Mus musculus: one gene and its partner. The main gene of each other region encodes a partner of the protein of the gene in region 2 in a complex. Links are inferred from orthologs where the notes say so. Each region holds a gene or a part of one and is shown on either strand. Other genes may lie near its edges.

Region 1 (4,550 bases), on a different chromosome or scaffold from region 2:
AGAGGGAGAAAAATCTCAGGTAGCTCTGCCCTAACTCAAGACTTGGGCTAGCGCAGTTGGTATTTTTTGAGGAGGGAAAAAGAAGAGATGGAGTAAGAACACTGGCGTTAAAAGCATCTGTCGTGTTTTCGGTCTTCTGAGATCAGGGTTTGGGTGTCAGCACCCACGCAGCAGCTCACAACCATACAGTTTTAGTTTCAGAAGGTTGAATGCCCTTTTGCACCAGGTGCACACACAGTGTAGAGACACACATACAAAACATTAATAACACATAAGATATAAATCTTTAATAAAACACAAATCTTAAAAGGATGATACGCCAGGACGACACACAGAGAAACCCTGTCTCGAAAATCCAAAAAACGATGAGACAAAGATGATTTTTGAGGCTGCAAGGAAAAGCTGGGCAGTGGTGGTGCACACCTTCAAACCTAGCACTTGGGAGGCAGAGGCAGGTGGATTTCTGAGTTCGAGGCCAGCCTGATCTACAGGGTGAGTTCCAGGACAGTCAGGGCTATACAGAGAAACCCTGTCTCGGGAAGGGGAAGAGAGAAAAAACAAAACAAAACCAAAAACAAAACAACCCAAAAGACTGAAAAACCCCGTTTCAAAAAGCCAAATTCTTTTACAAAACAGATGCATCTTTAAGGCATTTAGGTTTCACCACCTAAAATTAGCAATGACCATGTTCTGCCAGCTTCACATTTAAATTCATGCTCCTCAAAAAAAGAATCCTGCTTTTCAATTTCCATTTACTTAAACTGCTGACCTGCCAGAGTAGTCTAAGTCTAAACAAAGTTTATGAAAAAGTTAGGGTCATAGGAAACATTCCTCCATAACGACCAAACCCTCAAGTTGGAGCTCAACAATAGACTATTCTCCCAGCACACATGAAGCCCTGGATATTATAGTCTCACTTAAATTAAGATGGCACGGAAGTCTAACCATGGCCAGCAATACAGCAAAACCAAAATGATTAACAAACCTTTGGGATAGTTGACAACATATACCAGATTGCCCCAGCCAGCATCTGGGGCATGCAGAATTCCTTCCACCAGTCGGACTCCTCTCATACACTGAGACACGGGATTCCGGTAGCGCAGGCCGCATGCCCCTGGAAACTGGGCTGTAACTGTGGACAGCAACACCGTCCCATCGTCTTCTGATGGTATTTCAATGGGTTCATCGTTCTCATCTTCTGTTACCCGAATATATTCAGACATCTTTGCTTAAATCTCTTAAAGGAAAAAGAAATGAGCAAGAAAATCAGAGGAGTTATCTTTTCATAATTGGCTATTATCACACCACTTTATTCCCACTTCCTGAAAAGATTCCTGCTACCTAAAATGTTTCTTTTGCCATCCCTGAAAAAAAAATAGAGAAAAGGTATTTTCTAAAATAAAAATGTGATTTTGGGGGCTGTTGAGATGGCTCAGTGGGTAAGAGCACCCGACTGCTCTTCAGAAGGTCCAGAGTTCAAATCCCAGCAACCACATGGTGGCTCACAACCATCCGCAACAAGATCTGACTCCCTCTTCTGGAGTGTCTGAAGACAGCTACAGTGTACTTACATATATTAATAAAATAAATCTTTAAAAAAAAATGTGATTTTTGTCGAGCACGATAACCCACGCCTTTAATCTCAGCACTCTTGAGGCAGGCAGATCTTTTTGAGTTCGAGGCTGGCCTAGTCTACTGAGTTCCGGGGCAGCCACAGGGAAAACCGGTGTTCATGTGGCGCTCTGCCCGCCAGTTCTATTTTCTCAGCGCACACTATAAGCTTCCGGTGCTAAAATGGCAACAGTGTTACCATGTGGCCCGTTGGCTACAAAGCCAGACAAAAACAAGGTGTTAAAGAACTAAGTATCTGCCCCGATTTTTTTTCTTGCACTCGTCATTTCTTACCTGGAGCGCACAGATTACAGGCTACCGTATTTCGTAACCATTCTGAATTAAGTTTCTTCTATAGCCTGGACCTGAATCGGGTTTAGCACGTGCTTTAACGTGGAAAAAACCAGCCAAGCATTGGGATCTGAGGAACCCTCCCTGTGCTGGTGGAGCACGAACACCGACATCAGAACAGTTATCTAGCAGTTCTGGTGCTCATCCTCGGAAAGGTCTGGCTAAAGTTAGGCGTCGAGGGAGCAACGACGGCTACTCCGGGAGGTAGGCCGCCGCTTCCCAGAAGGCCGTGCGCGACAGACAACGTTGATGATTTTCCCCCCCTTTCAACTGGGCCCAGGGTGGGGCCCGCGGAGGTCCAAGTCCCATGGTGACAACAGTTATTCTCAAAAGCGACAATCTACAGGGACTAGGACGCCTGGAAACCCGGGGCGGCCACACACTTCCGCCCGTGGCTTCACAGCCAAGCAGAGGCCCGGCGTCCCGCTCCGGCTACTGCCCGCGCTTAGGCCTTAACGACGCGGCTGCGCGAGGCCAACCAGGCCCCGCTCTACCGCTCCCTCCCCGCGGCGCAGGCCGCACCGGGCCTCTCCGAAGCAACACTCGAGGCACGCAGGCCGGCCTTGGCGACCAACCTACCCGCTAGGCCACTGCTAGGAAGCACAAGGAGGAAGCACAGACGGGAAGGAATCCGACAACAGCCGCGCTACCGCTCCGTGCCCACAAAATGGCGCTAGGGCCGCCTCCCGCCCTCGCCCGCCTTCGGCCTCTCCCACTGGCTTCCCTGCAGGAGGGGCGCTCTCCGAGGGAAGCCACAGGCGCTCTCTCCTCCCAGAGGCTCGGATGCTAGCAGGCTCTTCGGCGTATAGAAAAAAGTAAAGAAACGCAACAATGAAAACAGCTGGGTCTGAAAAACTGACAGATGAAGGACAGAACGGCCACTCGGCCTTCCGAGTCCCCCTACGTAACGCGGTAGATGGCTTCGCCTGACCAACGGCCGGCCCTAGTCGAGGAGCTCGCGCGCGCCGAGAATGCGCGAGACTAGCGCAGGCCGGGACTGGGGCGGCAGGGGCGGGGCTAGGAGGGAAAGGGGGCGGAGCCTGCGACTGAACGCGTAAGGGCTTGGGGGGGAATCCCTGGGAACCCTGGGTTCCTAGTCTAAAGGCGACTCTTAAATGTCTTCTGCCTTTGCTCGTTAATTTCCAACGTGGAAACATTAACTTTGATCTGCAAAATGGTCCCTGTTCTAAGTACTATTTTGTATCAAGTACCTTTTAGCACTCTCTGGCTCTAGGGGGAGAAAAACAAACCAGAATCTTGTGAATGGCAGGCAAGTGTCTTCCCATTGACCTTGGGCTTAGCCATCAGATACTGTTTTAGAGACAGGGATCTCAAAGTCACTGTGTAGCCCAGGCTGTCCTTTAACTCATCAAGGCTGCCAAGTGTGGATGCTGCCCTAGCAGTCTACACGATAGTCGTGATACTCTCTCCTCTTTCAATAAGTGAAGAAACTGAGGCACAGAGTTGAGTACCTTGCATGAAGTCACCATGAGAAAGAGGCCCCACTAGGGTCTGAATCCTACAGCAAAAAACTACTTGGATGTTTCAGTATTTCGGTTCCAGTTGACGAGTCCTAGTATAACTTTAAAAAGGCTGAAGGCTAGCTCTACCACCAAGCAGCAGATGTAGACTCTTTACTCAGGGTTGGAATTTCTTGGTGTATCAGATTCAAAGCTTAGGCACAAAGGTTTTACACAGTTGCTTTATTTACTGAAACTGGGTCTTGCTGTACAGAACAGGCTGGCCTTGAGCTTGCTGGGTTCCTCCTGCCTCTGCCTCCCTTCTGGGAGGAATGGGGTAGGATTGCAGATCACCATCAGGCCAAGCCTTCCCACTTTAAGTTTATAAATGAATTCATTTCCTCCTCACAGCTACCTTGTAAGAAGATGGCATTGGAAGAACAGATGTTAATGTCTAGCCCCTAACTTCCATTAGAGCCCAGGCTGGCCAGGAACTCCTGGCCTGTCCTCCTGCCTCAACCATCTGAGTGCTGGGATTATAGGCATGAGTCCTTCCACCCAGCATTATTTACTTTTTGGTTTTGAACTTAACAAACAAACAAACAAAACAGGATTTCTGCGTAGTCTTTGGCTGGCTTAGAACTTACTGTGTAGACCAGGCTGGCCTCAGATTTGCTATGCCTTTCCTGAATCTGCGCCTTCAGTGTTGGGATTACAGGTGTGAGTCACCAAAATGGTTTTTTGTTTGTCTCCTAAGACAAGGTTTCATACAGCAGAGCCTGGGCCTGGCCTCCTGACTGTCCGGGATTACAGACCTGTGCTACCATGCCTGGAAAAGTCAAGAACTTTAACAGTAGTTTAAAAGGATGATTGCATTTTTTTTTTTTGATTTTTTTTTTTTTTTTTTTTTTTTTTTTTGGTTTTTCGAGAAAAGGTTTCTCTGTGTAGCCCTGGCTGTCGTGGAACTCACTTTGTAGACCAGGCTGGCTTCAAACTCAGAAATCCGCCTGTCTCTGCCTCCCGAGTGCTGGGATTAAAGGCGTGCGCCACCACGCCCAGCTTGCATTTTTTATTTATTTTCTGTGTTCACGTCTCTGTGGGAAACCAAACCTGCTCTGTGTGAGTTTT
Region 2 (3,805 bases):
TCACCGCAATAAGGGGCATGATGGGGAACAGACGGGAGCAACAGTGGGCAGCCGCTCAGGGTGGGGAAGAGTGGGCAGTGTTGCAGTGGAATGAAAGCAAGGAGGTGATGGACCCTCTAGAATAGTCTAAAACTAGGCAGCCAGCGCATACCACCAGCCCTGTGCTTGGCTGGTTTGGCCATGTAACCATGACAATGAATTCCAGGCATTGCTAACACAAACTGATCTCCAGAATGAGCCAAAATAAATCCTGGAGGAGCTGCCAATCTTCCCTATCCAGAGAGGATTCTGAGACTCCTTCACATTTGTCTAGGAAGTCACAGAAGGGGCCTACTGGGCATGAGGCCATGATGCTGGAAGCCTCTGGAGTAATCTCACGGAAGAGCAACCACCAGGGCTGTGCTTCCAGACCTTGTGTGTTTGCCTTCGGTGGGCACACAAGAGAAATTAGAGCTCTTTTGTATGTTGTAGCTGGAGGCCTGAGCCTTCCCTTCAATCCTCTAAGAACTTGTTGGCTAGACCAGAGATCTGTGCTTGAACGCAGTTTGGACAAGCACTTACCTGGGCTGGTGGCACAGCAGGGGTGATGGTACTAGATCCCGAGTATCCTGGGTAACTTGGCACTGGCTGCTGCCCAGGGGGTGGCATTGGTGACTGCCCAGGATAGGTCATTGGAGGCTGCCCAGGATAGGCCCCTGGGGGCTGCTGCCCAGTGGGTGGCATAGGCTGGCCTGGCACAGGGGCCCCTGGGTAGGCTGGATATGAAGGCATCCCAGGAGGTGGGTTTCCTCCTGGGGGCGGATACATTCCATAAGGAGGGACAGGCTGCTGGGCAGGAGGGGGCTGCCCAAAGCCACCAGGAGGGACTGGAGGATAGCCACCCCCAGGAGCCCCAGGATACAGATTTGGCACGTTGGCTCCTCCAAATGTTCCAGACATGTTGGCTGCCTGCCAAGTACACAAAACAGAGCCTGAGAAACATAGGCCCAGAAAGACAGCACCTTGTCTGTTTACCCTTCCCTTATAGAGTTCTGCAATGGCTCTAGGCAGGGAGCCTCCTACAGAACCGCCCCCCACCACTCCCCCAGCACTATGTATACCTAGCAATAGATGCAGGCATCACAATGCTAGGCTCAGCACACAATGCTAGGCTCAGGCTTGCTGCCACCCCACTATGGGACAAGAAGGACAATCTGGCCACTGATGATGGTACACTGGCTCAGTGTATGCAGGGCAGCTGGGCTCTGACATGGACTCTGCATGTGAACCAGAACTTCTAATCTGTCCCTTCTGCAAGAAGCATGGGAACCTGAAAGAGGAAGCTACTTCTTCCAACCAAGAGCCACTAACTAGGTAGAGCTAACCACTCAAAGACCCAGAAAGTACAGGGGTTCCTTCTGCAGGCATGAGGTGGCCCTGTCACACCAGTCTGCTAACAGTCAGTCAAGGTGAGGTAGGTGAGGCCCGGCACATGCCCAGAACAAAAGCCTGAATCCTCACCTCAGCCTCTTATGCCACTGAGAAATGGGTCCCAATATCTTCATCCCTCACCCTACCTATCCCTCACGTCCCCTCTTTAATGACCAAGGCCTGCTCACTGTCCCCAAGGTCATCAGGTCCACGGCACCTTAAGGACTGGCCATCCCTAGAAATTTGCATAGTACATTTCTCTACCATGTCAGATCTTTGTTTGAGGTCTCCTCCTCCTCCTCCTCCTCCTCCTCCTCCTCCTCCTCCTCCTCCTCCACAACAACAACAACAACAACTTTTCGAGACAGGGTTTCTCTGTGTAGCCCTGGCTGTTCTGGAACCTGCTCTGTAGACCAGGCTGCCCCTGAACTCCCAAGTGCTGGGATTAAAGGTGTGCACCACTACCACCTGGCTCAGGGTCCCTTTCCAGTCCCCACCAGCACCTCTGAACCTCTCCTGTATTATTACTGTCCTGTCCATCCCTCCCGCCCTGGGCTGGGGCTTGAGTTTATGGCCTCACATATTCTAGGTAAGCACTCTACTACTAACAGTACATCCCCATTCTCTTTCTGCTTCTTTTTCTTTTCCTTTTCCTTTTCTTTTTCTTTTCTCCTTTTTATTTTGAGACAATGTCTAAGTTGTCCAGGGAGGCCTTGAACTCACTTTGTAGCCCAAACAGGTCATGAACTTGGGATCCTCCTGCTTCAGTTTTCCAAGAAGCTAAGGTTAGAGGCCTATGCTATCAGGGCCGTGTATCTACTTTCCTAGCTTCTTGCTCTTCTCTCCCTCCCTCAACCACCTCTGCCCTTCCCTCGAAGACCGGGCCTCTCTATGTTGCCCAGGCTGAGTTTGAAGTCTTCATCTTCACAGATTCACCTACCAAATGTTAAGCATTTGCTGTGATGCCCAGAAGTGCCTGCCACTGATCAGTATTGTCACCTGCTAACTTACATCATGTCCTGTCTCCTTGACACAGATGCTAAGTGTGCCTGGACTGAGATTTGTGTGTGCGCAGATGCATGTGGAGACAGAAGTCCTCCTTTTTTGGCACAGTATTTATCACTGGTCATGGAATCACCATGTAGGCTAGACTGGCTAGTCAGCCAGTCCAATGGATCTGCCAGTCTCTGCCTCCCTAGCACTGGGATTACAAGGACAACGCCTGCCTTTGTACACATGGGTCCTGGGAACTGCACTCGGCCTAATGCTGGTATGGAATAAGCACCTTAGACCTGGCTATCTCTCTAGCCCAGGGGTTTTGTTTGCTGCACTCACATATTCCCAGCACCTAGAACTGGGCCTTGGCATAAATTTGGGTACCTTCTAGTAGCAGTGTTTCCCCTAAACACACATTTGGTTTCCGATTATAAAATAACATCCTTTAAAAAGCAAAACAACAAATAAAAGCATGTACATTCTAACCTACCTGCTTCACGGCACCAAGACCCAACCAGAACAGCCTTGTACGTGCTCGCCCCCGCAGCTCTCCACACATATGCTCACCTCCCTGCAGGCTTCGTGCTCAGCTCATGAGAAATTCCCAATAAACTTCCTGCAGGCACCAGCCTAACCCAATCTCCTCGGACCTGAGAGACCTTCAGTGCCAAGAATCTCTTCCTCTAATATAGATGGGGGGAGGGGGGAGCCAGAGTAGGGTGGGTGTTAAGTAGATGACCTCATATTCTAAGTTGCTGCTCAGCATTCTATGCTCACAGAAACAGGCATGAGGTCTCCCTGAGAACTTGGGGTAAGCAGCCTTGATCCCTATAGCCCTGGCCCAGGGATACCTTGGCAGGGGCCTGACTTACCATGCCTGAGAGGTAGTCCTGGTTGAACTGCCCCGCATAGTTGGCTACGTTATCCAGCCCGATAGGGGGCATGCTGGGAGGAGGGTAGCCAGCACCTCCCCAGGGACCACCACCTGAAAGCAACACCAAGCCATTATTAGCTCTGTATCCCTGGCCCACTGACAGAACAGAAAAGAGGGCTGCAGAGGGGCTGCTGTGATAACCAAGGAAGACCAGCATCCAGCCAATGTTATAAAGACCCAGAAAGAATGGAACAAGAGGGCCAGGGAAAGCAGAGGAAGAAGGCAGGTCCAGCCCCAGTGGGGAGTCAGGCATGCTTTGTCCTCTCAAAGCCAGCACCACTGGGTGAGAGGACAGATCCATCCTTAGGCTCTGTGCGGAGCTGAGCATGTGACAGCCATGGACTCCAGGAATGCTGAGGATTCTCAGATGGAGAGAAATGAAGCCACGTCAGAGGGCAGGGACACTGTGAAGGACGGTATCAAGGAGCCCGTTGGGAGACCACATGGCTGGCTGTGTGTCCTGGG

Evidence for each region.
Region 1: the proteins of Anxa11 (region 2) and Tardbp are in contact, whole or in part, in a cryo-EM structure (PDB 9FOR), measured with the Homo sapiens proteins. The link is inferred for Mus musculus from reciprocal best matches to the Homo sapiens genes ANXA11 and TARDBP. Residues at the interface, in NP_001148.1 of Homo sapiens: Gly56, Met57, Ala59, Met61, Ser62, Gly63, Phe65, Asn69, Pro71, Asn72, Leu73; in NP_031401.1 of Homo sapiens: Ala328, Leu330, Ser332, Trp334, Gly335, Met337, Gly338, Met339, Ala341, Ser342, Gln343.

What each region holds. Positions count from the first base shown.
Region 1 is NC_000070.6:148,624,140-148,628,689, forward strand, and holds the start of Tardbp (TAR DNA-binding protein 43), read right to left. Parts: upstream 2,858-4,550; 5' UTR 2,542-2,857; intron 1,238-2,541; 5' UTR 1,224-1,237; coding exon 986-1,223; intron 1-985. UniProt on the Homo sapiens protein: RNA-binding protein that is involved in various steps of RNA biogenesis and processing.
Region 2 is NC_000080.6:25,869,655-25,873,459, reverse strand, and holds part of Anxa11 (annexin A11), read right to left. Parts: intron 3,392-3,805; coding exon 3,279-3,391; intron 949-3,278; coding exon 562-948; intron 1-561. UniProt on the Homo sapiens protein: Binds specifically to calcyclin in a calcium-dependent manner. Required for midbody formation and completion of the terminal phase of cytokinesis.